Linked DNA regions of Saccharomyces cerevisiae S288C. The gene in region 3 interacts genetically with the main gene of each other region. Each region holds a gene or a part of one and is shown on either strand. Other genes may lie near its edges.

What was found.
Region 1: mutations in PHO86 (region 3) and PKR1 together harm fitness more than expected from each alone (negative genetic interaction), as found in Saccharomyces cerevisiae (3 studies listed by BioGRID).
Region 2: mutations in PHO86 (region 3) and PMR1 together harm fitness more than expected from each alone (negative genetic interaction), as found in Saccharomyces cerevisiae (4 studies listed by BioGRID).
Region 4: of PHO86 (region 3) and PHO87, changing one enhances a phenotype caused by changing the other (phenotypic enhancement), as found in Saccharomyces cerevisiae (4 studies listed by BioGRID, with this or other methods).

Annotation. Positions count from the first base shown.
Region 1 is NC_001145.3:509,917-516,168, reverse strand, and holds PKR1 (Pkr1p), read right to left. Parts: upstream 2,577-6,252; coding exon 2,208-2,576; downstream 1-2,207. Other genes in the region: EPO1 (Epo1p), read right to left, coding at 1-1,713; NCW1 (Ncw1p), read right to left, coding at 4,600-4,854; YMR122C (uncharacterized protein), read left to right, coding at 5,094-5,468; 60S ribosomal protein eL15 RPL15B, read left to right, coding at 5,821-6,252. UniProt on the Saccharomyces cerevisiae protein: Functions together with the other V-type ATPase assembly factors in the endoplasmic reticulum to efficiently assemble the V-type ATPase membrane sector V(0).
Region 2 is NC_001139.9:185,708-194,701, forward strand, and holds PMR1 (Ca(2+)/Mn(2+)-transporting P-type ATPase PMR1), read right to left. Parts: upstream 4,762-8,994; coding exon 1,909-4,761; downstream 1-1,908. Other genes in the region: SUA5 (threonylcarbamoyladenylate synthase), read left to right, coding at 352-1,632; HUR1 (Hur1p), read left to right, coding at 1,757-2,089; CUP2 (Cup2p), read left to right, coding at 5,422-6,099; YRB30 (Yrb30p), read right to left, coding at 6,271-7,593; DNA-dependent ATPase RAD54, read right to left, coding at 8,000-8,994. UniProt on the Saccharomyces cerevisiae protein: This magnesium-dependent enzyme catalyzes the hydrolysis of ATP coupled with the transport of calcium. Has a role in the secretory pathway.
Region 3 is NC_001142.9:189,700-196,325, reverse strand, and holds PHO86 (Pho86p), read right to left. Parts: upstream 3,796-6,626; coding exon 2,860-3,795; downstream 1-2,859. Other genes in the region: nucleosome assembly factor ASF1, read right to left, coding at 1-39; SUN family protein NCA3, read left to right, coding at 1,453-2,466; YJL118W (uncharacterized protein), read right to left, coding at 4,028-4,687; ribulose-phosphate 3-epimerase RPE1, read left to right, coding at 5,236-5,952; ALB1 (Alb1p), read right to left, coding at 6,083-6,610.
Region 4 is NC_001135.5:190,323-199,033, forward strand, and holds PHO87 (SPX domain-containing inorganic phosphate transporter), read right to left. Parts: upstream 6,864-8,711; coding exon 4,092-6,863; downstream 1-4,091. Other genes in the region: fatty acid elongase ELO2, read left to right, coding at 270-1,313; exosome non-catalytic core subunit RRP43, read right to left, coding at 1,512-2,696; RBK1 (putative ribokinase), read left to right, coding at 2,975-3,976; Ras family guanine nucleotide exchange factor BUD5, read right to left, coding at 7,299-8,711. UniProt on the Saccharomyces cerevisiae protein: Involved in the uptake of inorganic phosphate.

The DNA.
Region 1 (6,252 bases), on a different chromosome or scaffold from region 3:
GGCGACTGCACTTTCACTTTCCAATTTAAGATCTTTTAAACCAGTCTCTAGCGCACTCGCAGGTCTTAAATTTAAATCGTCTGATTCATGTGAAATTTCCTCCTCTTCATTTGCTTCAGTATTTTTCTCAGCTCTTTCCTTTTCTTTTTCTTCTACTAGTGCTTCTCTCTCACGTAAAGATTTTTCCATTTCAGCTAGCTTCCTTTCTTTTTCCTTTAACTCGTTTTGTTGAGGAGTGGATAATTGCAAAACATTCAGTTTTCCCTTGTTTTCAATAGGTTGATCAATGTTCACTTGTTTTTTTAGTGGTGAAGATCCTTGTTTTGTAGAGTTAGGCATTGCTGTAGCATCAGTAGGAGATGACGGAGAGAATGTAGTCAGGGAGTTGTTTTGTACGTTCGGTATTGAATAAGCTGAATTATTCTTTGAGGAAATTGACGATTGACTGATTGGCTGTTTCATGGACACAGCTTTACGATCGTTGTCATTTGGTGACCATGGATTAAACCCTTGGGGAACGTTCTGACTTTGTAGAGACATTGTCCGATAGCCTTCAGACATTGGATGAAGTTGAAGTTGTTGTTGTTGTTGTTGTTGTCTTTGTGATATCTGCTGATGACCTGCGAATGGCCGAGGATTTTGGGGTGAATATCTTGGGCCATTAGTTAATGACAGAGTACGTGGTTGCTGAGGTGGCTGTTGTCCAGAGGGCATTACTGGTGGGGTATTCTGGAATTGACCTGGGTGATTGTTGTAGTTGTTCATCGGTAGCATTCTTTGTTGCTGCGGCTGTCGAAATTGTCCGGGAGGTCCACTCATCAACGAATTTGATCTCGAATAATTAGCGCTCACCATTTTATTCGGTTGAAATCTAGGATGAGGAGTGGGTGCTTGCATTAAAGGATTACCATTCGGGAAACTTTGCAAAGACATTGCTCTCGGAGGCAACGAGGCTAATGTACCATTTTTAGTTTGTTTAGCCATGGCATTCATTGCGGTTTTCCTTTGATTAGTAATGTACTTCCTATACTCAGTATTACTCATATTGCCGCGGTCTTTAGTCACCAATGTTGGAATGATAGGAGTGGAATCACCACCATATCCATATTTGTCACCGCCCTTGTGACCGAAGGTCTGAATGTCATTGAATGTTAGGTCGGAGTTTGCAGAATCATCCAAGATAACCTCATCGTCATCATCACCATCTCCACCACCTCCTGTCCCCTTAGTGTTTTTCTTTGACTTCCCAAATTGATGCTTATGTTTGAAAAAATTGGAAAATGAGCTCTGGGTAAATGAGGAAGCTTTCTTACCATTAACATTATCGCGATTATTGCTTAGTGATGGTTTGGTGAAGTTATGCTGCATGAGGGGAATCTCATTCATATGTGGATTGGAATACTCAAAATTATACTGTTGTTGCTGGCGTTGCTGTTGTGAATAATTCTGCATGGGAATTTGACGTTGTTGAAGTGGCGCTTGTATTGGAGCCTCATTCATGCCATTACGGTAGTATTGCTGCTGCTGCTGCTGCTGCTGCGGCACGGAAGAAGGCTGGATGTTAATATTGCTGTCATTCCCGTTCCTTGAAATAGGTGTTTCATCCCTAATGTCAATATTTCCTATATCATTATTCAAGAGGTTATTTCTCAATTTAACTCTAGCAGAAGACTGACCGTTTCTTGTTGCCATGGTCGATAAACCTGCATCCATTTTGAACTTTTTATAAATAGTCTTTGAGTACTTTTTATCCCACTGCTTTATCGGATCAGGCTGTACCTCTCTGCTCTTTTTGTAGGGTTATTAATAGCTCGGTGAAAATTAATGAAAGAAAGCTCCAAATTTAGCTATAGCCGTAAACTAAAAAAAAAAAAATTAGGAGGGCAGTCACTAAAACAAAAAATCAGAATTCCTATGCAATGTGCTGCTGACACAGTTACTTGAAATGCCTATTTATTCACAATTTGAAGGGTTTGCGATGCTGAAAGAGTTGTTCTATTCAGTCGCACGCGTTAACTCTTTGCATGTGCTTCATTTGTCCATAATTGAGCCCAAAATTTGATTTAAAAAAAAGGAATTTTTGAAAAAAAAAAAATATCAGGGGAGACCCTGAAGCGGACAAAAAAATTTACAATTGCGGACATTTACCCGGAAGCTCTGTGATATACTAATAACAGAGATAATTATGTAGTCAATTATGTATCTGTCTATGCTTTTCTTGACCTAGATTGTGCTTGAGTCCGTCTGGCAGTACTAGTGGATTTCCCGCTTTCTTGCTTGTCTTCGCTGTCTTCCTTGATGGCACTGTCGTCCTTTTTATTGGCATCTTTATCCAGCTCATCATTATCCTTCAATTTGACGTGTGATAATTCGTTTATAAACCAGATAACGGTAATCCATAGTAAAAGTGATATACAGAAAAGAGCATAGAAGTGGATATTCCCGTTTGTGGCATAGATGAGCCAGATGAGGGTCAGTAGTAGTGCAACAAAAGATACGTGTGTGGCGATGATCAGCTGGGGGGAGGTCCCTGGTTCAAATACACTTTCCCACAGTCTAACAAAAAAATTGGCCATTTTGAGAAATTTTCGAAGTTATATCCCTGCGATTTTTGGCACTAATCAATTAGATGGACGTGTTCTTGGATATGACAAAAAGAAAAGACCATCTCTATTTTTCTTCATTTGATTTTCAGTCAAGCAAAAAACGCCGGGTAAACGCAGTCAAAGAAAATTAAAGAACATCTGCTATACCCTACCATGTTCTTAAAATATGAATGCGCTATTCAGGTTCATAGGCAAAGTTTTCACATGTCACTCGCCAAATAAAAATCAAAATTGAAATATATAGGTAAATAGATTGATAAAAAGACGTAATTAATCACCTGTACATCTTCAATTGGAGTTTCTGAGACACCGATATCTAGGACGAAAGAAACAACGGTAAATGATGATACCGTGCTTCGAGCAGACAGGGTCAGTAATCATACCAACAGAAAAATTCTCTTTGGTATAAGTAACGGTGTTACTGCCGGAAATACTCCCGAGAAAAACAGAACCTTCACTGGTTTTAATATTCACCTCAATGTAAGTGATGGTCTGACTTTGCCCTTATAATTAGCAGCAGCAGGAGTGGCGACACCAGAGATTAGGCACTAGTGAGGAGAAGAGATAGTCTGACTGGCCATTTTAGTTAATGGATATATAGTTTCCCATCTATTGAAAGGAGTGGAAACTATAACTGAAAACTGGGTTCTTGAGCAGGAATACTGCTTGTATACTTTTCTTGTATTTCACTGCTTCCTGTCCGATGCGCTAGCACGATGGAGCTCGGCAAAGAAAGACAGAGGAGAGAAACATCCTGAGGATTTTGCTTTGTGCAGAAAAGGTTCCATCCCTGCAATAAGGGTCCTCTTTGCTGCGGAAATTCGAAGAAACGAGATAACCATCCTGGGTTGTAGCGACCTCATCACCACCTAGACCCCTCGGTATGCAGCCAAAATCCATTTGTGTTTGCCTAAGGCACGGAATGGGAAATAAAGTATTTTAGATTGCATACGCATTTTCCCTCTGGGTAGGGAGTTGGTAAAAAAAAAATAGACAGAGTAGATTCGTAATAACTTAAATGGCTAAAGCGTGGGTACATCAGTGCAAACAAATACGATATTACCGTACCAATTGCACACTTCTTGGTAAGAAAAACTGGGAGCACACCTTACCCATAAAAAAGTGCATCGTTATTCCCATGGATAGGAAGAATAAGAATATATCACTCCTGCCTCCAGAATAGTAAATCTGTTTTCTCAGTAAATTATCCCTTTGAAACCTTACTGGATTTGGCTGTCATTGGTCGTAATTGCCCACAATTGAGGTTGCATTCTAAATGTTTCTTCCAATCAAAAATCAGTTAGATAAGTACCTTGGATGCCATTACATCGGGAAGCCCCTTTACTCAGAAGCCCGTTAGTTTCTTGAGTACTCCGATATAATTCCCCTATTTCTACAAATGCTACATAAAAAAATGCTGTGAATAAAGTCGCTAACAACAACTACTTATCGTGACTTGTCTAAAAAAAAAAAAACCTACATTTCAGAGTTAAAATAAATCTAAAGGTGCCACTGGAAAGAGTTATATGCGAGCTCCAGGTTCATATTCAAAAACATGACATCTTACTTTCTCTCGCGGTTGTGACCTCCTTCAATGAATTTGATATTGCTAACCAACAATCATCAATATTTTTGTTTTACCCGTCTTCTCGTTTTCTGAACGTGACACTAGCAATGTCAGACGTTCATTCTCACTTTCTGTCACGTGCTCGCATTGCGAGCAAAAAAAGCCTTACCACCACTCGATTAATCTAATGAGTTGCTGTATTAATAAATAAATTTTTATATTAAAATATATTATAGGAAACATGCAATGGCCCAATTGGCCTAAATATATATAACTCCCACAAGTTCGCCCACCTCTTCATTGGTTTAACTAGGCGTCAACCGCGAGTCCATTATGATATGATTTTTATGTAATTTTTCTGTTAATCAATCGTTCCCTTTGATAGTACAATAAGCAGAAGGAAAAAAAAAGGCTTTTAGAAACTTCTTAAATACCGGTGCCTAGGACGAAAGAAACAGCAGCAAATGCGGCCATGATGATACCGTACTTCGAGGAAACAGGGTTTGCAACCATGCCTGGAGCAGCGTTCTTTGAACTGGAAGTAGTGTTCTTAGCGGCACTGGAACTAGCAGTAGAAGTAGCAGAGACGGAAGAGGCGGCAACGACATTGTTGGAAACTAAGGCACTGTTAGTTTTGATGGAGGAGGAAGCGGAAGCGGAAGTGGAAGTACTGCTGGCCATTTTTATTCAGGTTATTTGCGATTAGGTTGGGGTTTGTGTTTGATGGAGACCTCAGTAATTAACAGTACATTCTGAGAGCGGCAAACAGAATTCTGCCTTAAATTCAGATCGTTTATATACTTTTTTTTCACTTTTTACGCTCGAGACACCATAACCCAAAAATAGATCAAACTAGCCATTGTATTTTTCACCAATATGGCAATGTGATTTCCGCATTAGGCAATACTGTGAAAGACTCTATGCTACGTCAGTTCGGAGGCGTGTTTCGCAATCTTCGCGTTCCAGAACGCACCAACGCGTTGTTATTTGCGCAGCACAAGGGGGACGAGAGACATTCTGGCCAACGTGCATTCGACGGAAGTAAATTTCGGCTGGAGGCTAAGCGCTGCTTTACTGCAATTTGCATCATTACGGTGGCTCGCAGGGATAGATTGGGCGTACTGGTTTGTGGCAAAAACACCGCCTCCACGCTACCTTATTTGCCAGCCAACCGCATATTCAGGTTGCCAAAGGTACAGATCAGGAAAATGTTTCCCATTGGATGCGCAACTTTCCTTAGTAGGGAATATATAATCACTGCATTGCTGGTTTCGTACTGCCATCTTTGCGTTTAAAGTATAACCAAATTAATAAAGCGACTACGCCGCTATCCAAAACAGGCTCCTCCAGCTCCTTTAAGGAAACAAACGTCTTTTTTCTTTACTCTTATTTTTTGCACCGATTGCTAGAATACTTCTCCAATCTCTTCAAATGATGATACAAACATGTAGTCAGTAGAGATGTATCTGTCTTGATGCTCCATATGTCGTTACCCGGAAAACATCTTTCTTGTTCCTTTCGATACTTTTCCACGTTTTCAATTAACCGGAGCCATTGATAATTTCATTCACTCTTGAGAAGTTAGCGGCAATAGTAATCGGCGAAAGCTACCGTAAAGACAGTCACAAATTACCTACCACACAAGCAATGGGAGCCTACAAATATTTAGAAGAATTAGAAAGAAAGAAGCAATCTGATGTTTTGAGATTCTTGCAAAGAGTCAGGGTCTGGGAATACAGACAAAAAAATGTCATTCACAGAGCCGCTAGACCAACTAGACCAGACAAGGCTAGGAGACTAGGCTACAAAGCCAAGCAAGGTTTCGTTATCTACCGTGTCAGGGTTAGACGCGGTAACAGAAAGAGACCTGTTCCAAAGGGTGCTACTTACGGTAAGCCAACTAACCAAGGTGTCAATGAATTGAAATACCAAAGATCCTTGAGAGCTACCGCTGAAGAAAGAGTTGGCCGTCGTGCTGCTAACTTGAGAGTCTTGAACTCCTACTGGGTCAACCAAGACTCTACTTACAAGTACTTCGAAGTTATATTGGTTGATCCTCAACACAAGGCTATCAGAAGA
Region 2 (8,994 bases), on a different chromosome or scaffold from region 3:
AAAGATAGCCCTGTAGGGGGCTCGAACCCCTAACCTTATGATTAAGAGTCATACGCGCTACCGATTGCGCCAACAAGGCTATTTCGTTGAAAAATTCAGGCTTCAAAATTATTATATGTATCAAAAATATTTTTTTGAGAAATTTCAAATCATTATCTACGCTAGCCTTACTATTTTTTCACCCAGAAGATAGTAACCTCATCGCACATACCTATTGAAGCTGATAATATTTGAAGCGAGAGCTTTATTCTTCTCCTCAAATTTTTTTTTTCTTCTGCGCTGTTAACTTACCACTAAACCTGTTTCCATTTTTAATGGTAGTCCTGTTTATTATTCCATTTTTAGAATTGTATGTACCTTGGACGACATTTTTTGGCAATGACATCGAAAGCACTGTTTGATACCAAGATCTTAAAAGTTAACCCGCTATCAATCATTTTCTCCCCTGATGCGCATATAGATGGTTCCTTACCAACGATAACAGATCCTGAAACGGAAGCAGCGCTAGTTGAAGCGGCGAGGATAATAAGAGATACAGATGAGACTGTGGCTTTTCCAACCGAAACTGTTTATGGTCTTGGAGGTTCTGCTTTAAATGATAATTCAGTGCTTAGTATATACAGGGCCAAAAATAGGCCTAGTGACAATCCTTTGATTACACATGTTTCATCCATTGATCAACTTAACAGAAAGGTCTTTAATCAACCGCATCTATCAGGTACATCCTTGTTTGATAACATACCCTCAATCTATCGCCCATTAATTTCAAGCCTTTGGCCTGGCCCATTAACAATTCTTTTGCCAGTTCCATCTTCAGAGCATAGTGCATTATCAAAGTTAACGACCGCAGATCAGCCTACGTTTGCGGTACGCATACCCGCTAATCCAGTGGCTAGAGCACTGATTGCCCTGAGCGATACACCAATAGCTGCTCCTTCAGCGAATGCGTCTACTAGGCCATCTCCTACTTTAGCGTCTCATGTTTATCATGATCTAAAGGATAAAATTCCCATAATTCTTGATGGCGGAGCGTGCAAGGTTGGTGTAGAAAGTACTGTTGTTGATGGGTTATGTAATCCTCCTACGCTACTGCGACCTGGCGGTTTTACATATGAAGAAATTGTTAAATTGGGTGGTGAAGCTTGGTCTCTTTGTAAAGTTGAGAATAAGAAAACAGTTGAAAAGGGCGAAAAGGTAAGAACGCCTGGTATGAAGTATAGACACTATTCCCCTTCAGCTAAAGTTGTTTTACTAGTTCCTCATTGCGAAGGCGATGGCATTCTTAAGGGCGTTGATAGGATGGAAAGATTAAAGAGGTTAATCGAAACGGAATTAAAAGCCAACAGTAATATAAAAAAAATTGCGATTTTAACTTCCCTAAAATTACGTGATTCCGACTTACAATCTAAGATCTTTAATGAACCCGATTTTTCTTCGAAAACTTTCATCATCGAAAGACTTGGCCAATCTGGTGAAGAAATACAGACTAACTTGTTTGCAGCTTTAAGAAAAGTGGATGAAAATGATAAAGTAGACCTAATATTTGTCGAAGGTATAAATGAGGAAGGAGAAGGATTAGCTGTTATGAACAGATTGCGAAAGGCGGCTGCAAATAATTGTATACAGTTTTAAATAAAACTGTGATTAACTTTTGAAAATCATAACCACTGATTACGGAGATTTTATATCTAGTCCGGAAAAAGAAGGAAAGAATAAAATTTTATATTGCTTTGTATATACGAAAAGTCGCCCATACATGTTTATCTTAGTATCCGTTGTAAATATATGTACATATATACATCTACATATGTTCCCATTAATTAGTACATTTACCTCAATAGGGTTGGGCGTCCTCATGAAAGATAAAGGGAAGGAAGGAAAAACGATAAAAGCACAAAATGTGACATATCAAACATTTGAGAAATACGTTGAGTCTTCTTCATTCTTTTTCCTCGTCCACAATTTTCTCAATTCATCAACGATGAAAACGCTACTGCTGATGAGCAATAACAATAGTATATCAGAGATACCAAGTTTCTCAGTTTTAAAGATACTTTGGAAAAATGGTATATATATAGCGCACATTTGACCTAACAGAGACAGTCCAACGGCGTAGTTGAACATTTTGTTCGTGAAAAAGCCGATTTCGAAGATTGACTTTGTGTTATGTCTGCAGGCCAAAGCATTAAACATATCAAAAAAAACAAAACAAGTAAATGTCATAGTAGTATCTCTAGCAGTTACTTTACCATCTTCGGCCATCTCTTTAACAAAAATGTAAACTGTCCCAACGATGATACAGGCCGCGGTGGTTAGTAAACGTTTCATTACATCATGGGTCAAAATTTTATCGGTACGTTTTCTTGGAGGTTTTTTCATAACTTCATGATCAACAGGTTCCACACCTAAGGATTGAGCTGGTGGCCCATCCATTAAAATATTTATCCAAAGAATTTGCATTGCGTTCAGTGGATTGGGTAGTTTAAACGCTGTAGATAGTGCAACTAATGATAGTGCGGCAACAGAAGTAGACAATTGAAAAGTCAGGAAATTCTGAATATTATTAAAGATACCTTTACCCTCTTCAATGGCAGTTAAAATAGTACTGAAGTCATCATCAGTTAAGACCATATCTGAGGCTTCTTTGGCTACATCTGTACCAATTCTACCCATAGAAACACCAATATCTGAAAGTTTCAACGCAGGAGCGTCGTTAACACCATCACCAGTCATTGCTACCACATCACCCCTCTTTCTTAATGCACGAACAATGTTTAACTTATGCTCAGGCGTAGCACGAGCAAAAATATTAACGTGGTCGATGACATTGGCCAGTTGATCATCTGACATTTCATCTAATTTATCACCGGATAAAACGGAAAGCTTTGGATCAATAACTGGAATACCAATTTGTTTTGCAATGTTTACTGCGGTATTCTCAGAATCACCAGTGATCATAATAATATGGACACCACCTTGTAGTAATTGTTCGATGGCAAATTTAACGTTCGGTCTTGGTGGGTCATTCATACCGATTAAACCAGTAAAGGTTAAATCTTTGATTAGGTCTTCGGTTAGAGGAGTTGATGAATCAGACAAAGTTAGTTTAGCAAATCCAAAGACACGCAAACCTTCAGATGCCATAGAATTTGCGCACTCATTTATCGTAGCTTTTTGGGCTTCAGTCAACTTTTCAGTTTTTTTACCCTTTGATTTCAAATAACTTGTGGAGTACTCAAGAATTCTTTCAAATGCACCTTTAACATAAACTGTACACTTATTGTCGACAGGGTTGAGAATCTTGGTTGCCATTAATTTTCTTTTCGAGTTAAATGGAAGTTCCTGAACTTTTTGAACGGTGTTTCTGATATCAGGCATTTCAAAGTTTGCCAATTGCTCTAAAAGAGCTACATCAGTAGGATTTCCCAGAAATATGGCATGTTCTTGAGAGAAAGATGCATTATTACAGAGATTACCGATAGTTAGAGTTTCCCTAACGTCTTCAGTCAAATAGTTTTTCAAATTTCCATTAGAATTTTTAGTCTTCTTATTTTTGTCTAATGAGAGGACGTTTAGCTTATTGGACATACTGTCCAAGCACCAAAGTTTAGATACGGTCATGTGGTTTGAGGTTAGTGTACCTGTTTTGTCGGAGCAGATAACGTTGACAGAGCCTAAAGTTTCGACACTTGGTAACCTTCTCACGATGGCTTTACGCTTGGCCATTCTCAGAACACCCAATGCCAAAGTAACAGTGACAATAATTGGTAACCCTTCTGGAATAGCAGCAACCGCTAAGGATACCGATATTTGGAACATTTCTAACCAAGATCTACCTTGTATGATACCAACTAAACAAATCATACCAATAACTATGAAGCTAACCAGTGACAAGTCCTTTCCCAATTTGTCCATTGTTAACTGCAATGGAGTCTTCGGTTTTTCAATATTATTCATCATTTCAAAAACGGCACCAAAGGATGTGTTTGTACCTGTTCCTACGACGATACCCTTACCATGACCTTCCTTGACTAATGTACCCATATAAGCTATACAAGATCTCTCAGAAATCGGTACAATTGAATTAGGCTGATCGTTAAAGGAAGATTTTTCGATCGTTTGTGAGGTTTTATGTACCGGTTCATTTTCACCAGTTAAATTACTTTCATCGATGGATAAATCGATTGCTTCAATAATTCTAATGTCTGCGGGGATTCTGTCACCTATTCTGAAGTGCACTAAATCACCAGGAACCAAGGTGGAAGCCAGTACATGACTCTCTTGACCACATCTCATTAAGTGACATTCAGCAGGAACCAATTTATTCAACGCTTCTAGAGATTTTTCAGACCTATATTCTTGGACAAAACCGACAGTGACAACTATGAAAATGGCCAGTGTGATACTAACAGCATCATCAATGTTACCCATAAAAAGAGAGACCACTGCGGATCCTATTAAAAGTAGAATCATTCGATCCTCAATGAAATTTGACAAGAACTTCTTGAAAAGACTTTCATCATCTTCTACGGTTATTTCATTGGGGCCATAAAGTGATCTCCTATTGTTGGCCTCGTTAGATGATCGTAAACCACCGTTTTTGTCAGTGTCCAGTTTTTCTAGAGCTTCGTCCACGGATAAAGTACAATACTCTAAAGAAGGGCTTGGTTTCGAAAGGGCCTCTGCTGTGGCATCTAGTATTTCTCTCTCACGGTTTGAGTCCTCGTCAAGAAGACTCGCATTAAATGGATTGTCACTCATAATTATCTTATCTTTTACTTACACTTAAGCTTACGTCTGTGCTGGCCTTGCTTCGTCTTGTCTTGCCCAGTCGTAAGGATATTATTATAGTTACTAGTATTGTTATAAATGGGAATGGAAAGAACGGGGCGAGCAAACACTATTATGATGGTGTAGAAAAAGAGGTTTTTCTATTAAGTGCTTGAAGGAAGGGCTATAGTGTACGATGGCCTAGGGAACAAGATCTCGATATAACGATAGGTAGGGTCCACACTGTTAACAAAAAAAGTACTTCTTTAAATAGAGAATCTTGTCTTGATGTAACAAAATGAAAAAAAAAAAAAATGCAACTAGAATGTAGAATACAAAAGTTTAACGATCGGCTTTGCTGTTAAGTGGTTATCTAGGGATGAGCTGAACGTGCAATTGATACCAACCGATCCTTGCTAGGAACGCAACTCTTTTCACCCACCTTCCACCACTACGATCGTGAAAGAATATTTGCTAAGAAAATCGCCAAAACGAGGCGAAGTCGCCAGGGTGCGCGGGCACGCAGGGTAAGAGCCGCAAGGCCTGGTTCGGTAAGTATTAAGCTGTGGACGAAATAGCAGTAGCCATGGCGATGTAATTTATTAGACGGCGGCTTGATAAAAGAGGACTGATAATCAGTGTATTCACAGAATGGTCGTAATTAACGGGGTCAAATATGCCTGTGAAACGTGTATCAGGGGTCACAGGGCGGCGCAGTGTACTCACACTGATGGTCCGCTACAGATGATCAGACGCAAGGGAAGACCATCGACCACATGTGGCCATTGTAAAGAGCTGAGAAGAACCAAGAACTTCAACCCATCCGGTGGGTGCATGTGTGCCTCTGCACGACGGCCAGCTGTTGGCAGCAAGGAAGATGAAACACGATGTCGTTGTGATGAGGGTGAACCTTGTAAATGTCATACCAAGAGGAAAAGCAGCCGGAAATCAAAGGGAGGGTCATGCCACAGAAGGGCAAATGATGAAGCAGCGCATGTCAATGGTCTCGGTATTGCAGATCTGGACGTTCTTTTGGGCCTAAATGGTCGCTCGTCGGATGTAGACATGACAACCACATTGCCGAGTTTGAAGCCACCTCTGCAAAACGGAGAAATTAAGGCCGACAGCATTGACAATCTTGATTTGGCTTCCCTCGATCCGCTTGAGCAAAGCCCTAGTATATCTATGGAACCTGTTAGTATCAATGAAACAGGAAGCGCATATACAACTACGAACACAGCACTAAACGATATTGACATTCCATTCTCCATCAATGAGTTGAACGAGCTATACAAACAAGTATCTTCGCATAACTCACATTCACAATAATGCATCTGGACATCTATATAAATATACATATACATATATTGGCGGTTGTTTGTTCTCCCGGCAAGCTGGCAGTCGGGCCGAGATTCGGATAAATTTTTCCATTCGTATACATATACATAGATATATACAATTATAAAATTTGTCCAAGGCTGCACAGGATACGTAACCATCCTAAAGTTTTAGGTTTTTTAACTTTTTTTCTGTCTCTTCAATTGTCGAATTGCTTATTCTATCCTTTCTGGAGTTCGTATTTTCATCGTTCAAATATATAGATAACCTTTCATCACTCACTTCCAATATACTTTTCTGATCGTTACTTTGTAAGGACGTCAGCCGAATGATGTACTCCAGTAGTGTGATCGACGAATCCTTGTCCTCCAATTTATTTTCTTCTTCTTCTTCTTCCTTTCGTTCTTCTCCGTCTTTTCCTTCCTCTTCGTCCTCCTCTTCATCTTCCTCTTCATCTTCCTCTATCGCTTCATATCCGCTTACCGCATACCAAGTAATGTCATCGAGTAATCCCTTGTCTCCTTCACTGCTCTCATTTTCTTTGTCATCGCTCCGGTCAATCTTCAATACCAACACTGGAGAATCCTGTTCTTCTAATCGGAGAAGCTTACCGGAAACACTGAAAAACAGCTTCTTAATATGGTTCAGATCTATGGCAAGTTCCTGTGGTGTGTCTTCTTTGTCATCATCCTCATGATATCTACCGTCATTGAAGTCTTGTTCTATTTTCATAAAATAATCATACTTTCTGCCTGTAGAGTTCAATCTATATATCCTTGCTTTTGCACGTTTCATATCCTCTTTCCAAACAATTCCTGATTGCCCATTGTTTTCTGAAGTTAGGTTATAGAAAATAGAGAATAGTGTAACCTCAAATGTAGGCCCCACTTGAACTTTTAGAATCTCCTTGTCACCTGTTCCTTTCTCATTACTCTTCATTGCCTTTTCATACTTTCTATTGTTCTCGCTAACGAAATCGGAGGCTTTTAATAATAAACCAGGAGAAAGTTGATATGGGAGTGCGCTGTTCAAGTTGGCACCAGAAGTGGTTAAAGAAAGATTAATGAATGGAGTGATTTCTTCGATCCTCAATAGCAAGTCCTTTATATAGTTTTCTACCGCTTTAATAGCTTCATTCTGTGTTTTTGCGCTCCTGGAACCCTCAACTTTCTGCGTCATTTCGTTGATCTTCTCATCAAACCTATCAATCTCTTCTTTTAAATCCTTGGTTAACCTCAGAGTGATTTGCAAATTCGTGTTTCCCCTCGCCGCTACCAGCTTTATTAGGTCAATTGCACTGGATACAATAGCCATGCGGCTTTCCAGTTTAAATTTCAGTTGATCTATTCTTCTAGCATCATCCTTAGGAATCTGGACGACAAAGTTCGTTATTGTCTTTAGCGCATATGTGGATGCTATCGATATTCCGGATTTTATAGCAAATGTAACGGCTTGTGAACCTGCTTTGGCAAGAATTTCATCCATTCTCTTCAGATATTGGTGTTAGGTAATAGTTAAAGTTAATCCTTCTGAGAGTGTGAAACTGTATCAGATTTTTATTTCCCTGACAGCGTGAGATTTTCTTGCCATAATCTTTTTTGGCAGTTTCGGCTGGCACTTTACCACGATAAAACTGAAGATAATGAAAAATTTAAAAGCTAGCACAAGTATAATATGACATCGCTCAACTTTTTTTACCCTTAAGTTATACGATTATACTTTTTTGATTGAAATACATAGAGATATTTACCAATTTGGCCCCAATTTTCAATTGTTTATTACGTCTAAATATATATAACCATGCCCATCATTTAAAATAAATATGTAATGACCCCCCGACGATCGAATTCTACTTTTTGTTTTTGTTTTATAAGTACATGTATGTAAGAGATCAATGTGAAATATATTGAAATGCAAAACTGATATCATTGTAATGATGCTCGTTTTTTAGTAGATGATCATTTGTTTTTTCCAATGCGTCATGGTTCAAATGATTCCAAGTTGTCGCATCACCATATAACATTGCAGGGGCTCTCTTTAATTGTTTACCCTGAGCATTACAACGTTTACAATGGTATGTTTCGTGTGTTTCACATATCGTATTCTCATTTTTTTGAAACAACTGTCTTAAATTGTCAGAACTAAACAACCTTTCAACGTCTTCTTTCGCATCGACCACGCATGAACTCAAACTCATTTTCATAGATTGTCTTTGAAAGATTTTTTCCTCTATGGTACCAGTCGATATGAATCTGTAAATGAAACAATCCTTTTTTTGACCGTCTCTCCAAACACGTGCCAAAGCTTGTTGATCAGCAGCAGGATTCCAATCCGGATCCATCAAAATTAATCGATTTGCACCAATCAAATTGATACCACACCCACCTGCTTTAGAACTTAAGAGGAAGATGAACTCTTGGCCTTCAGGATCGTTGAACCTATCCACCAATTTTTGTCTTTTGTTAATTGACATTGTACCATCCAACCGTACAGCACTGTAGTGCTTATATCTACACATTTTTTCAATGAGGTCCAAGGTTTGGGTATAGTTGGAGATCAAAACAATCTTATCATCGGATTCGGTCTTTATCTTATGGAGAAATCTTTCCAAAATGGAAAATTTAGCTGAATATTTTGTTTGTACGTCCCTGGCTTTTGAACCCGGCATATTATAATCGTCAGGTAGTTCCAAATCATCTTCATCGTCAAATTCATCTTCAAAATTCAAGAGATTAGGGTGATTACATAGCTTCTTTAAAATACCAATAGCCCTCAGGGGCTGAGACCCACCAACACCTTTTACTACTTTTTTCACTTCTCTTGACTTAATTAATTTATTGTAGAGCTCGTTCTGCAACGGCTTCAAGTTTACGAAAATAACGTGCT
Region 3 (6,626 bases):
GTTTAAGACTTTGATGCCTAACAGTGAAACAATTGACATCTTTTCTATATCTTATGTTTCAATTGGATGGTAGGGAGAGTACGCTGTTACACTTTCGAGATTCTGTGAGCCTCTTACCTGTTTGGAGTTATTCCAAGTGTTAGTATTAAAATTGCAAGATTCATTTTTCCATCGTCGGTTGTACGCCCATTACATGAAAAAGGGAACAGATTTACGCGTTTAGGATGAGAAAAAAAAAAAAAGGAAAAAACGCGTAAATGAAAAGTTCTTTGTAGAACAGCTCTCTCTTAAACACATAGTAACAGCAAAAGACGCCACCAAGACAATATCCTGAAAATCGAAATTCTCGCCAAGGCATTACCATCCCATGTAAGAACGGAATAAAACAGCATTCGAAGGTTAGGTGTGGCACAAAGCCGATAAGAAAAAGAAAAGTAGTGAGGACAGGCTTAATTGAGCTAATTAAGGCGAAAAAAGGAAAAGAACTCGATAGAAAAACTTATTCATGAAGGAGACGTAAAGTCAGGCAAGGCTGCGGCATCATGTCTACTTGTCATAACTCAATTTGCCTATTTCTTACGGCTTCTCATAAAACGTCCCACACTATTCAGGGGAAGGCTACACGGAAACCCCAATAAAGGAAACGAAGAAGTGACCTTAGCCTTCGTCATCCGCGCCCACTACTCTCTTCCTAGTCGCCCGGTTGTTGAAAGTTTAATTGTGGGTTTTCTTTCACGACACACCTCACTGAAAAAAGAAACGAGCGGAGGAATAGTATGATAAATCTTCAGCATAGATGGGTAACGGGATCCCTCTGTGAGGGCCGATTATGCAGGCCTAGACCCGCACGTGACCACTTCGAGAGCAAGTTGCCTGCGAGTTTCTCTGCCCGAGGAAAAAGAAATGGAGGCAATTTACTTAATATGGTATGAGAGGATCTTTTGACGGCAAATAGATGCGCCATCTCCGAGAAAAAATCTAGACAATAACAGCGACAATTAACCTAAAGAGGATAGAAGATCGAGCAAAAAAATTTTTTTAATATGGGGTCAGTGGCGATATTATACTATAGGAGTTAAAGAGTAAGTTGAGTGTAAGGTGGTAGAATTATGATTGAACTCCGAAACTAAGCGCCGATTATGGGTGGCAAAGCGGACAGCTTTTGATATATAATCGATCGCTCTCGTAGTTGATATCCTCTCTCTTGCTTATCTTTTCCTGTATATAGTATATGTGTACATACAGATACGAATATACCTCAGTTAGTTTGTTTTAACATTAAATATTCAACAGTTGCCAGTAGCAAAAAGAATATATCCATTCATTTCGAGCTTTTTCGTCTCATTACTGATATCCAACTAACAGTCTCCTCATAGACGGTACCTTACTTTCCTTTAATATTATAATACTAGTATAGTCGCACATACTTAACTCGTCTCTCTCTAACACATAATGAAAATTTCCGCAGCTTTAATATTGTCTTCCCTTTCTTCTGTCGCATTTTCTGCCCCTGCACCTGCTCCAGCGGACAGTCACCATGAAGATCATCACAAAGATGAAAAACCAGCGGTTGTCACTGTCACTCAATACATAGATTCCAATGCCGCTACTAGTACTGTAGAATCTGCTGCTACTACCACTACATTGTCCTCATCTGAGAAGGATACCTCTGAACAGAAGCGTGATGGCGGATTCCAAGATGGTACTGTCAAATGTTCGGACTTCCCTTCTGTAAACGGTATAGTTTCCTTGGACTGGCTAGGATTTGGTGGATGGGCCTCTGTCATGGACATGGATGCCAACACTTCGTCCGAATGTAAGGATGGCTACTACTGTTCTTATGCATGTGAACCTGGAATGTCAAAGACTCAATGGCCTTCTGACCAACCAAGCGATGGTAAATCTGTTGGTGGTCTTTACTGTAAAAATGGTTACTTGTACCGTACCAACACTGATACCAGCGATTTATGTTCTACGGATGAAACATCTGCTAAGGCCATTAACAAAAAGTCTGACTCCATTGCTCTATGTAGGACGGATTACCCAGGATCAGAAAACATGGTGATTCCCACAGTGGTTGATGGTGGAGATTCACAACCAATTTCAGTCGTTGATGAAGACACTTATTATCAATGGCAGGGTAAAAAGACTTCTGCTCAGTACTATATTAACAACGCCGGTGTATCTGCAGAAGATGGGTGCATTTGGGGTACTTCTGGTTCGGATGTCGGCAACTGGGCTCCACTAGTGTTAGGTGCTGGTTCCACTAATGGAGAAACATACTTGTCGTTGATTCCAAACCCCAACAGTAACCAAGCTGCCAACTTTAACGTTAAAATAGTTGCATCCGATGGCGCTAACGTTCAGGGCAGCTGTGCGTATGAAGATGGCTCTTTCACCGGAGATGGTTCCGATGGTTGCACAGTTTCTGTTTTATCTGGATCTGCTGAATTTGTTTTCTATTAAGTCATTCTTCTTTTCGGTAAAAGAATGTCTTGTATTTTGATACCCTCAATTCCCCTTATTATTCTTTTTCTTCCGCTCTCTATTTATTATTATACATTGGGATTCCGTTATATTTTTCTCCTTTCAGTTCATTTTACTTCTTAAAAAGTTTCGTTGATCGCTATTATGCTATGGATTCAAAGATTTTCTTTTCTCTCTCTTCAAGGTGTACTCTGCATTACGGTTTTCTTTAGTTCGTTTATTTTTTTTTTGTTAACAAGGTGTTTGTATACATATATATAAATATATGGAAATATTATAGTGTTTATTTTGTTACTTCCTGCGAGTTGCAACAGAACTAACAAGATGCCATGCTGTTTTTTTTCATTTTTTGGCTATAAAAATAACAGTATCCTAGTCCTTGTGTTCGGCTTTAAAATGGAATTGCAAACCCCATAATTCCTTCTTCACACCGAACAAACCGCCTAGTAGTCGATTTTCAGAGACTCTAATGCTTTGAATATAAGTGAACCCTTTTTTCTTCAAAATTTCCTTAAGCGTGCTATCGAATGAGTAGACATCAATCAAGAGTTTCATGGTCTCCCCGTATTTGCCGCTGCTTCTAATATTTTTGGAGTGTAGCATAGCCCAATCAATCAAATCTTCGATAATGCCACTTTTTACATATACACGACGACAACCCACAGTAGTAACACTCATGACTAAATTTTCATCAGTACTTAATGTCATGTTAGGGGCTAACGAAATCAATGCAATGGGCGTTTCTCTATAAACGATGATATGCGTATTGTTCACCACTGGATCCTTTGTTTCATGTCTTGCCACCAAATCATTCAAATTGATGCCGAAAACTTTCTCACCTTTAGAACCAACAAGTTGGTTGATCTTCGACTTGAAATACGAGTCAGATACACGTGAGAGGAGGGTGAACAAGAAAGATGCACCAATTGCGGTGAACACTAAACCGCTGAGGACGACCTTCTTATTAATACGAGCCAGCTGGTAGAACCATCCAGCAACGGATCCTGTATTCCTTATCGGAAAGACAATTCTTGGCGTCAAGTAAATAAGCAGCCCAATGGTTAGAACAACAAGGATGACGGGATGGAAGAACAAATACTTATTAGCCAATGCCTGTTCTTGTCTGATGAAATCCGCGGACAAATTCAATGCAGCTGTACCATATTCTGGTTTCAAATTAACACTGTAAATAGTAGGAGGAGCATCAATATCAAGTGGTTTGTCTAATGATGCATCTACTTGTGGGACCGATGGGGCATTTTTATCGGACTTTCTACCCTCTTTCTTCTTTCTTTGTTGAACCGCCATTGTGCCACTCTTCCTACTCTTGTACTTTCGCTATGAAAAAATGTGCAACTGGAAGAGTCGTAATCAATCTAGAAAACTTAGTAAAAGTATGTGCTATATATCTATAAACATGAAAAGCTTTATTTGTGTGAGAGAGAAAAAAAGATGTTCTTTGGTCGTTATTCATTATAGTTTCCATAAAGAGCACGTGCGGGCGCGCTGGGTAATGCGGGTGTGAATTTTCAGTTATAGGTCAACTACAACAGCAGGTCGAGAGGGCTTCTTCAGAAAGCGAGAGGTCGTACCAGGGATGATGTTGCGGGAGCTGCTGTTGCTGCTGCTGATAATGCACCAGTGCAGTTGGACTGGGAAGAGCAAGTGGAACAGCCACCATCTGGATTTCCATTATTGGGTACATATTTGAGAGTGGACGCTCGATGCGATGTGGTCTTCGACGCCTCCGCTTCCTCTTGATGGCTACGATCCTCAGACGAGGCCGTTTGCGTCTCTTAACGTGTGTGTGTTGTATAATGGGAGAACAGGGTTGTCTCTCCTCGGTCTTGCGCTTTTTCACTCGCAATACAGCATGCCCAAGAGTGCAGAGCCTATCAATGAGATAATTGATTAGAATAGAATTTATCAGTGGGTCGACAATAATGAACCACTTGACAACGGTCTTGGCCGCACGTAAAACCTGTGTGGTGCGAGAAGCAACGAATCTGTATACAGTTGATACAGAACGTCGGATCAACAAAATGGGGCGTGATGAAGAAAAAAAGTGGCGATCCCGTGGAGGACATTGGTGCATGGATGATTCAATCATACAATTTACGACATTTAACCAAAGTTGCACTCTGATGGGCTCAACGACTGCTACTCGTGCCAATAATGAAACTGAAAAGCATGAAGCCATCACTGTTTTTTTCGTGGTCTTTCTATATATAAACAAAGCCTCTGTAAAGTTTTTTTTTTTCGCATAACAAACGCGCTTATCTGAGACATAACAACAGCCAACGACCGATGCCTGCGTGGAATAAACAATAATACGCTGCAGAGGATAAAAAGAGAGGTATCATGTCTATTTATTCTCTGCTTTTCTAATCAAATGTGTATTGTATGCTGAACCATGCCGGTTGGTTGCTTCTTCCGGTAATTGCATTCAAGTCCTGCAACTTTAAATGTCCTCTTATAAAGCAGGACGTGGCTTCAGAAACAAAAAATGTGTCGCCAAGAGAAAACAAGAACAGCTATCCAAGTCGAGCTGGGAAAGTAATCAGATTTTTGTATATGTATAGGTACTTTCTTGATCCGTAAGCTGGAACTTCTTTCATGATCTCTGTTATAGGAAAGCCAGAATAGAAAGAATCCGCCCGTAAAAAGAAAAATAAAGCAAACTCGATACAATTTCATGCAAGAAGGCCATTTGCTAATTCCAAGAGCGAGGTAAACACACAAGAAAAAATGGTCAAACCAATTATAGCTCCCAGTATCCTTGCTTCTGACTTCGCCAACTTGGGTTGCGAATGTCATAAGGTCATCAACGCCGGCGCAGATTGGTTACATATCGATGTCATGGACGGCCATTTTGTTCCAAACATTACTCTGGGCCAACCAATTGTTACCTCCCTACGTCGTTCTGTGCCACGCCCTGGCGATGCTAGCAACACAGAAAAGAAGCCCACTGCGTTCTTCGATTGTCACATGATGGTTGAAAATCCTGAAAAATGGGTCGACGATTTTGCTAAATGTGGTGCTGACCAATTTACGTTCCACTACGAGGCCACACAAGACCCTTTGCATTTAGTTAAGTTGATTAAGTCTAAGGGCATCAAAGCTGCATGCGCCATCAAACCTGGTACTTCTGTTGACGTTTTATTTGAACTAGCTCCTCATTTGGATATGGCTCTTGTTATGACTGTGGAACCTGGGTTTGGAGGCCAAAAATTCATGGAAGACATGATGCCAAAAGTGGAAACTTTGAGAGCCAAGTTCCCCCATTTGAATATCCAAGTCGATGGTGGTTTGGGCAAGGAGACCATCCCGAAAGCCGCCAAAGCCGGTGCCAACGTTATTGTCGCTGGTACCAGTGTTTTCACTGCAGCTGACCCGCACGATGTTATCTCCTTCATGAAAGAAGAAGTCTCGAAGGAATTGCGTTCTAGAGATTTGCTAGATTAGTTGTACATATGCGGCATTTCTTATATTTATACTCTCTATACTATACGATATGGTATTTTTTTCTCGTTTTGATCTCCTAATATACATAAACCGAGCCATTCCTACTATACAAGATACGTAAGTGCCTAACTCATGGGAAAAATGGGCCGCCCAGGGTGGTGCCTTGTCCGTTTTCGATGATCAATCCCTGGGATGCAGTATCGTCAATGACACTCCATAAGGCTTCCTTAACCAAAGTCAAAGAACTCTTCTTTTCATTCTCTTTCACTTTCTTACCGCCATCTAGATCAATATCCATTTCGTCTTCTAGCTTAGCGCTTGCGTCAACCAATAATTTTCTCTGTGTAGCATATTTTAAGTTTCTCTCGATTTTCTTAGCTCTCTTTTTGGAAAGTGTCCTCGTGGTGATGGAGGCCGGAGAAGATGAAGCATTTTGTAATGTCACAGCAGTGGAATTCTGACTTTCGTTCTTCTTGTTTTGGAAGTATAGGTCCAACGCTACTGATTTTATTTCCCCAGATTTCGAATTTACGCTGGATCTAGCTGGCTTCAAGAGACCAGCTCTTTCTCTTTGAGCTCTTTTCTTATTTAAAGAGTGCACCTTGTGGTGCAAATTTGAAGTCAGCTTAGGTCTGTTGATGGAGTTTTTAGAAGGCATTATGGGTTGGCTGTGC
Region 4 (8,711 bases), on a different chromosome or scaffold from region 3:
TTGTAATTTCGTATTTTTTCTGCATTATACAGTTTTTTCCGATTTTAAACGACTTTATTTAAGTGTCGTGTAAATATGTCACATTTTATTTTTGTACGTATTCACATGTCCTGGCGTGCGGCCATTGCTGAAAATCGCAAAACCCACAGAGAAATAAACATCGCGAAAAAGTCAATGAAAAATTGGAAAATATTTTTCATTTCACTATTATCCACAAGCAATTTTGTACAAAGTGAAAAGGTTGAACTAATTATCTTCGTCTAGAAGCCATGAATTCACTCGTTACTCAATATGCTGCTCCGTTGTTCGAGCGTTATCCCCAACTTCATGACTATTTACCAACTTTGGAGCGACCATTTTTTAATATTTCGTTGTGGGAACATTTCGATGATGTCGTCACTCGTGTAACTAACGGTAGATTTGTTCCAAGCGAATTCCAATTCATTGCAGGTGAATTACCATTAAGCACTTTGCCCCCTGTGCTATACGCCATCACTGCCTATTACGTTATTATTTTTGGTGGCAGGTTTTTGTTAAGTAAGTCGAAACCATTTAAATTAAATGGCCTTTTCCAATTGCATAATTTGGTTTTAACTTCACTTTCATTGACGCTTTTATTGCTTATGGTTGAACAATTAGTGCCAATTATTGTTCAGCACGGGTTATACTTCGCTATCTGTAATATTGGTGCTTGGACTCAACCGCTCGTTACATTATATTACATGAATTACATTGTCAAGTTTATTGAATTTATAGACACCTTTTTCTTGGTGCTAAAACATAAAAAATTGACATTTTTGCATACTTATCACCATGGCGCTACTGCCTTATTATGTTACACCCAATTGATGGGCACCACATCTATTTCTTGGGTCCCTATTTCATTGAACCTTGGTGTTCACGTGGTTATGTATTGGTACTATTTCTTGGCTGCCAGAGGCATCAGGGTCTGGTGGAAGGAATGGGTTACCAGATTTCAAATTATCCAATTTGTTTTGGATATCGGTTTCATATATTTTGCTGTCTACCAAAAAGCAGTTCACTTGTATTTCCCAATTTTGCCACATTGTGGTGACTGTGTGGGTTCAACAACTGCCACCTTTGCAGGTTGTGCCATTATTTCTTCATATTTGGTACTATTTATTTCATTTTACATTAACGTTTATAAACGTAAAGGCACCAAAACCAGTAGAGTGGTAAAGCGTGCCCACGGCGGTGTTGCCGCAAAGGTTAATGAGTATGTTAACGTTGACTTGAAAAACGTTCCTACTCCATCTCCATCACCAAAACCTCAACACAGAAGAAAAAGGTAAGTGTAAAATCTTTGAAAGAATTTAAGTATTCAACTTTCGTATATTCGTTTTTTCTTAGTGGATCTATTGTTACTATTATCACTATTATTATATTGTAAAAGACCGGATGGTTTTGTTATATATTACATACACATGTTATCGTTGAAAAAAGTTTTCCGTTTCCTTTCGACAGTCATCAGATAATTTTATCCGAGTCTTTTATATGTTAAATCTTGTTGACAAATCGTCCGCTCTAACCCTAGATAACAACAATGATCTTTTTATCATTTCTGGCGTTATTTTAGCGCCTCCTCCCACTAATGTTAATTGCTTATAGTTACCTGAAGGAGCAGCGAGGATGGAGATCGTACTGTGTATACTTGTTTCTTCCGCTTCAGTATCTAGGTCTGCTATTAGCACAGTGTTCAATTTATCCATATCAATGTCCACTTCCTCTTCTTCAGAGTTATCAGAGTTTTGTAATTGGCATTCGGGGTCTAACTCCACTATCCCATAATTTGAAGCAAATGCAATATTCTTTGCGTTTATCATTAACGGTACTGACTTAGTTTGGTCGCAAATAATTTCATACGTTTCTCTTATGGTGGCACTTCTTCCTCTTGTTCTTATAGTCATTCTTAAATCGGACGCACGCTCATCTATAAATGCTCTAGGTAACTTTACGCTCTGTAAAGCGTACATCAAAGAATTCCAACACAAATCGAAGACTGGACCAGTGCGACTCAAGACTACAATTTTCGCATACAAAACGTATGACCATTTTCTTTTCATTTTCAGGTTTGTTTCATTCAGCGTATCATCTTCTAATTCATCGGGATACAAGACGGAAAACGTACCGTCTTCATTCGCACTACGAACACCAGCTTTTACCTTCAAGGCTTTTTTAGGCAATATCCTAGAGTGCAATATGGAATCGTGTAGTTTTTGTGATATAGTCATTTCTTCATCGGTGCAAGCGCCCACTCTACCTCTTTCAACTTCCACCACCGGATAGACAGAAGCATAATTTGCAATTATGTCCTCCTCTTTGGTCACTTCGAACAATTCTTCCTCACCGAAATCATCCAAATCTTTAATCGCGGCGCTAGTTTCTTCTATTATTCCACCCGTAATAGAAGTTATGACTATGGTTTTCCCACTTTTCAAAACATTTGAGCCTAAAATGTTGTTTTTAGTGTCTATATTACCAGCATCCGCATAACGCGATAAAGTATTATTTTCTATAGCAACATCTCTAAATTCTTCATATTTTCTTAGACATGGCCTGATTCCTAGGGATAAGTGTCTTTGTAAAGACAATTCTGGAGATATTCTCGCAAGAACTTCAGGTGGAAAAGTAATTGGGTGTATCTCAATAGTTTCTAACGTGGTACTTTCAGCCATTTCCAATATTAGATGCCTGTGAAACTACTGTCAAACTTATTTGTGTAACAATACTCATCGTCTAATTTGTCCATTATTGTTATATACTCTGTCATAAAAAAAGAAAGAAAAATCTTATACTTTCGTCGACTGTGATTTGAAAATCTCTCCAGATCAAACGGGAATAAAAGGGTTTATATCCGAAGGTGGCCAGAACAATCATGAAGCAAATAGGATAAAAATAGCCAATAAGATGTTTGTTGTCTTTCATCCCAAAGTTCCAACAGCATATTTCAAAGATGGGTATTACAGTAATAGGTTCTCTAAACTATGATTTGGACACATTTACGGATAGATTACCTAACGCTGGAGAAACTTTCAGGGCTAACCACTTCGAAACACATGCTGGTGGTAAGGGATTGAACCAAGCTGCGGCCATTGGTAAATTAAAAAACCCCAGCAGCAGATATAGTGTTCGAATGATTGGTAATGTTGGAAATGATACATTTGGTAAACAATTGAAGGACACTTTATCCGATTGCGGAGTCGATATCACTCACGTCGGTACTTACGAAGGCATTAATACGGGTACCGCTACCATACTAATTGAAGAGAAAGCTGGTGGCCAAAATAGGATATTGATTGTAGAAGGTGCTAACAGCAAGACTATTTATGACCCGAAACAGTTGTGTGAAATTTTTCCAGAGGGCAAGGAGGAAGAAGAGTATGTTGTTTTTCAACACGAAATTCCTGATCCTCTTTCCATTATTAAATGGATACATGCGAACAGGCCGAATTTTCAGATCGTATATAACCCCTCACCTTTCAAGGCCATGCCTAAGAAAGATTGGGAGTTGGTAGACCTTTTGGTCGTTAATGAAATTGAGGGTCTTCAAATCGTGGAAAGTGTATTTGATAATGAACTTGTTGAAGAAATAAGGGAGAAGATAAAGGACGACTTTTTAGGAGAATATCGTAAAATTTGTGAGCTTTTGTATGAAAAACTCATGAATCGAAAGAAAAGAGGAATTGTGGTTATGACTTTGGGTTCGAGAGGGGTGCTTTTCTGTTCGCACGAAAGCCCTGAAGTACAATTCCTTCCGGCTATTCAAAATGTTTCGGTTGTTGATACTACAGGAGCTGGAGATACTTTCCTGGGCGGTTTGGTTACTCAATTGTATCAAGGAGAGACCTTGTCTACGGCTATAAAGTTCTCTACATTAGCTAGTTCATTGACCATTCAAAGAAAAGGTGCTGCTGAAAGCATGCCACTGTATAAAGATGTTCAGAAAGATGCATAAAATCTACTGCAATTTTTTACTTTTAGTTTGTTAAATTTTAGTTTTCGTCATATATATAAAGTTTAAAAAGGTACAAAGAATGCAGTAATAAGAAATGTAATTACATGAGGGCAGTTTAAGTGCTACCTTTTAAGACGGAAGAACTAATACCATAACCGAGAGTAATTACGCAGACAAACGCTAACAACGAAGCAGGAACACCTCTGGAGATAAAAGCGCCTACAGTTAGCCATCTATTACCCTTTTTATCGGTCATAGAAATAGCAGTAACGTTTGGAAATCCAGATGAAGCCAACCCCATACCGCATGAGGCTAACAAGGCGCAACCGAACACAAGAATTGGAGCTGCCTTTGGATCGGATAATTTGTCACCAACTTCTTGCACCAAGGGAATAATGATGATTGCTGACACAGTATGTGAGACAAAAGTGCCCACAACTAACATTAAAATACCGAAAATACATAAGATAGCAAAAACACCATCGTTCTGAATTTTCTTTTGTAATGCTCTTGCAATAGTTACCAACAAGCCTGAAGATGAAACTGCCTTACCAAGGGCTATACCACCCATAGCAAGAACAACAATTGACCAAGGGAATGTGTTGAAATCCTTTGTTGATAGTAGACCTGTACCAAAAAACAGGACTATCGGTATTACTGCAATTTCACCGGACGATCCAAAAGCACTTTCTATTTGTGACTCTACACACCATAGAAGAATAGTAGCAATAGTTACAATGATGATAAAATATTGCTTTATAGTAAATCTGGTCCTTATTGGTTTAAATTTTTCCAGTTTAGTTTTGCCTATTTTAAAGGTGAGTATCATCAAGGCCCAGGAGCACAGCATCGATAGAATACCTGTAGGCAGAGCGACAGCAAAAAATTGCCCCCAGCCGATTCCATAAGGTTTTAAGTACTGCATGGAGATGATATTCTGTGGCGAAGAAATAGGTGAAGCCATACCACCAATATCTGCCGAAAGTGCAACACCCATGACTAATGCCTTAGCAAACGGTGAAGTGTAGTCCAGCGGATCTAGTAAGGGTGTTAATAGAGAATATGTCAATACTGGGGAGGCAACGTTGGAAATCCACATCGAAAGAAAGAATACAACACTCATTGCCATTAAAAGGACATTTCTTGGCTTGGTACCTGCAAGGGCCAATAACCACGATGCCAAAACTTTCGCAACGTTATATTGCGACAAGGCTTCACCCAATGTGAAACCTGCTAATAAAATCATAATTGTTGACGACCACATTGTACCTAAGATTTCTGTAGAGGCAGCTGCTGCTCCCATTACCTTACCGTCATCGTCTTTTAGTACCCTAAAAAGGACAGTTAGAAGGGGAACCAATAAACCTGTGATGTGTAATGGAATGGCTTCACTAGCCCATAAGAAAGCACAGCATTCTACCAATGCCATACACCGGTGTTCGACAGGGTCATTGAAAGTTTTAACACCCAACAAAACACCTGTGACAATGATAATGAAGCCTATTTTCATTGCTCTTTTCCCAAAAAATAGCTTAGGAACTGCCAAATTTTCAATTTTAGTAAACTTCAAATTAATTGGCTTAGGCAATGGATACTTGAAATATTCAATTTGAAGCTTTTCTTGCATAAGTTTCTCAGCTTCATCTTCAATAGTTATTATATCGTTATTTTGCGAAGAGAGGCCCAACATGTCTTTCCATGTGTTGCTTCTTTCCCAAACAATGTGGTCGTGCAGGTACGACTTTAACTCTTGCTTGCATGAATCTACGTTCCCAGGCTGACCCATGAGAACAGCATAAAATTCAATAAGTTGTGCAATTTTACTGTTTAAACTGCTTAAAGTTTCATGCTGGAAGATGTAGGTGTCTTTGAAAAATTCTTCACTTTCTATTAATTCTTGCCTAGTGTTCATGTGCAATACTTTATCAGACTTCTTAGTAATTTTACTGAAACCCATTCTGTTCAATTCGATAAAAGATTTCAACTGGCAAAGGTCTATGTAAAGATTTATTATTGTCTGTTTTAATAATGACTTTTTCTGAGATTTAATGTTAAATTGCGAATAATTCAAGAGGGCGGTATTGTCGGTAGTGTCAGCAAACACGTCAACGTCATCATCTTCATCCATTTCTTCTTCGCTGTAATCAAACCTATTTCTCAATTCACTGTCGATGTTTGAAGAGTGTATTTCAAATGGGTTATTAGATGAATGTGTCTCTGATGTACCAGAAATAATTTCTCTTAAAGGAGGCAATGCTTGAATTTCAGGATTGAAAGTTTCATTCAATCTTGTTACAATGCCTTCCTTCTCCAAATCATTAATCAAGTGGTCAAATCTTTCATAGAACTTAGCTTCCATTCTTTTGTAGAAATCATCTACTTTCAATTTCTCGTCGCTCAGGTTAGTTACGAATGTATCATAAGAACTGAAGAGCGTCTTTCCCTCGCTACTCACAGATGAGCTGCGTGATTCAAAGAATTTCTTACGTATAAAATTCTTATTGAAAGAGGTGGTTTTCCCTTGAGGAGATAACTCGTCTAACTCAATTGTTTCCTCGTTAATATTGTTCCCATCTATGGCCTTTTCGTCGGAGTCTCCCCTTTTGCTTCCTGAAGGTGTTTTAGAACCAAAGAGCTTACGCTTGAGTTTATGTGTAAATCTTCTTTTCGATGAAGATGGTTCTCCTGCAGCTATGTTGCTTTCTATATCAGCGATTGGACCTGGAGTCTGAGAGTCAGCGTCATCGTTTAAGTCACCGGTTGGCGTTTCTTGTTTCAATTCATCTGTCTGTAATGTGTAGATCAAATTTTTCAATTCGTTATAATCTAGGTAATGATTCTGCCATTCAGGGACAGCGTTGTATTTGAGAAAGTGTGAGAATCTCATTTCGAGGCACAATAATAGCCGCCTTTACCGTAGTTTTGCTGCACCTTTATCTGAGAGCTGACTGCTTTTTTGGTGTGAAACACTGTTTTCTGGTAATAATTTTTCAATGCATCGGATTACTTTTCCCACGTGCGAAATCATCAATTAATTAGATTGAAAAAAGGGTAAGGGAAAATAAGAAAGAGGCGGTAGCCTAAAGATACGGTAATTGAAACGTTTCCTATGCACAATCTTAAACCTTTTTAGGTAATTGATTAAGTTGACTGTAATATCTGTAAAAGATTACATCTAATTTACGTCTGGTTTCTTATCAAAAAATATTATCTACTGTAGTTATGCAAGTATTCTTAATTTTCAGTACTAAACATGAATATTAATTATTTGTGAGCGTACAAGAAGCAAAAGGAAGTCATCTTTCTTTGAACAGTTCTGTTTTTAGGTAAGCCTTGGAACCTTAGCTATACTGACTTGATACGCCCTGTCTTTGTTGTCGTTATATAAAGTGTGCACCTTTATCATAGCCCCTAATAAGCTTCTTGCAGTAGTATTTGAACAGTGTATATCTTCATATTGCTTTTGTTGTAAATATTGCGCAAAAGCGACTATCTTTGTGATTTGGTTGAACTTTTGCATATTCACGTTATTACCATCTTTAGTGAATGTATCGTTTCCGTCTCTTATGAAGGTAATGTCCCTGATAAGCAGTGATGTAAAAGGTACACAAGGAAGCTGACTGTGGAAAATATGTTTAATTGTTCTTCTATAAACGTTGTAGTTGTTGTTTGGATGTACGACGACTTTTAGGCGCTGAAAAAGGTGGTCTGATTTAACATCTATCGGGAGAGATAGTCTTTCTATTGAATGATTTTGCAATGATGTAATGATTGAAGCAAGTGAGTTTAAGTTTCGTAAGTATAGACAAGACAGTGCAACTTGTAACCAGTAGGAAATGGTGTGCGTTTGCTGCAAAGTTGTCTCAAGAACGTAGGACGATAACTGGTTGGAAAGCGTAAACACGGAGTCAATTGTTGTATCGTTGTGTTTGAAATGTCTTGTGAATTCTATTGTTTCAATATCCAAGTAAAGAGAAGATTCTAAGAGAGTCAATGTCTTTGCAAGTGACCATGGAGATACGTTTAGAGCGAAGGCTTCGACTTCTAGAAGTTCACCCTGTTTCCATTGGAAAAGTAAATCACTGAGGTCAGTTGCACCGCACAATTCATCATTTGCGTTCGTTTTGTCTATCTCGTATTGGAGAAATAAGTTTTCGTAGTCCAGGGGCGGTTTATTTTCTTCGATTTCCTTATCAGTTAGACCAATGTAATGAATCTTCAATTGCCTCGTTCTTTTTTTGTTTATAAACAGCTGAACTATGTCTGCAAACAGTTCTTGGTATTCATAATATTCAGCCAAGTGACTGTACCAAAAATTGAGGATATCTTTTAATGTTGTCTCACTATCTTGCCAATAAGACTCTACCCAGATTTGTATTAGACGAGGGACGGAGTGATTTTTGTGTTTGTTTTTATTAATTGTGGGATAGGATAGTAGCAACTCTTGGAGGAGAGCATTGTCAGTTGTCCAGTCTCTGAAGTTAAGTAGTAAGTTTGCGGAGTCAAAGGGGGATGGCTTTTGCCATTTGTGAGAGTTGTGCGGCAGCATCTTATTCAAATAGAGCTGTATTCTGAAGACCTCTTGTAGAACATCATCCATACTAAAAAGTAAATCGTCCTGTCCCATTACGAGCTGTATTAGTGCTGTGACCCTCTGTATATTTACGTTGCCATGAAGAAGGTAATGGGCGATATTTTGATACAATTCCTGAGTTGCATGTTGGATTGAGTTTAC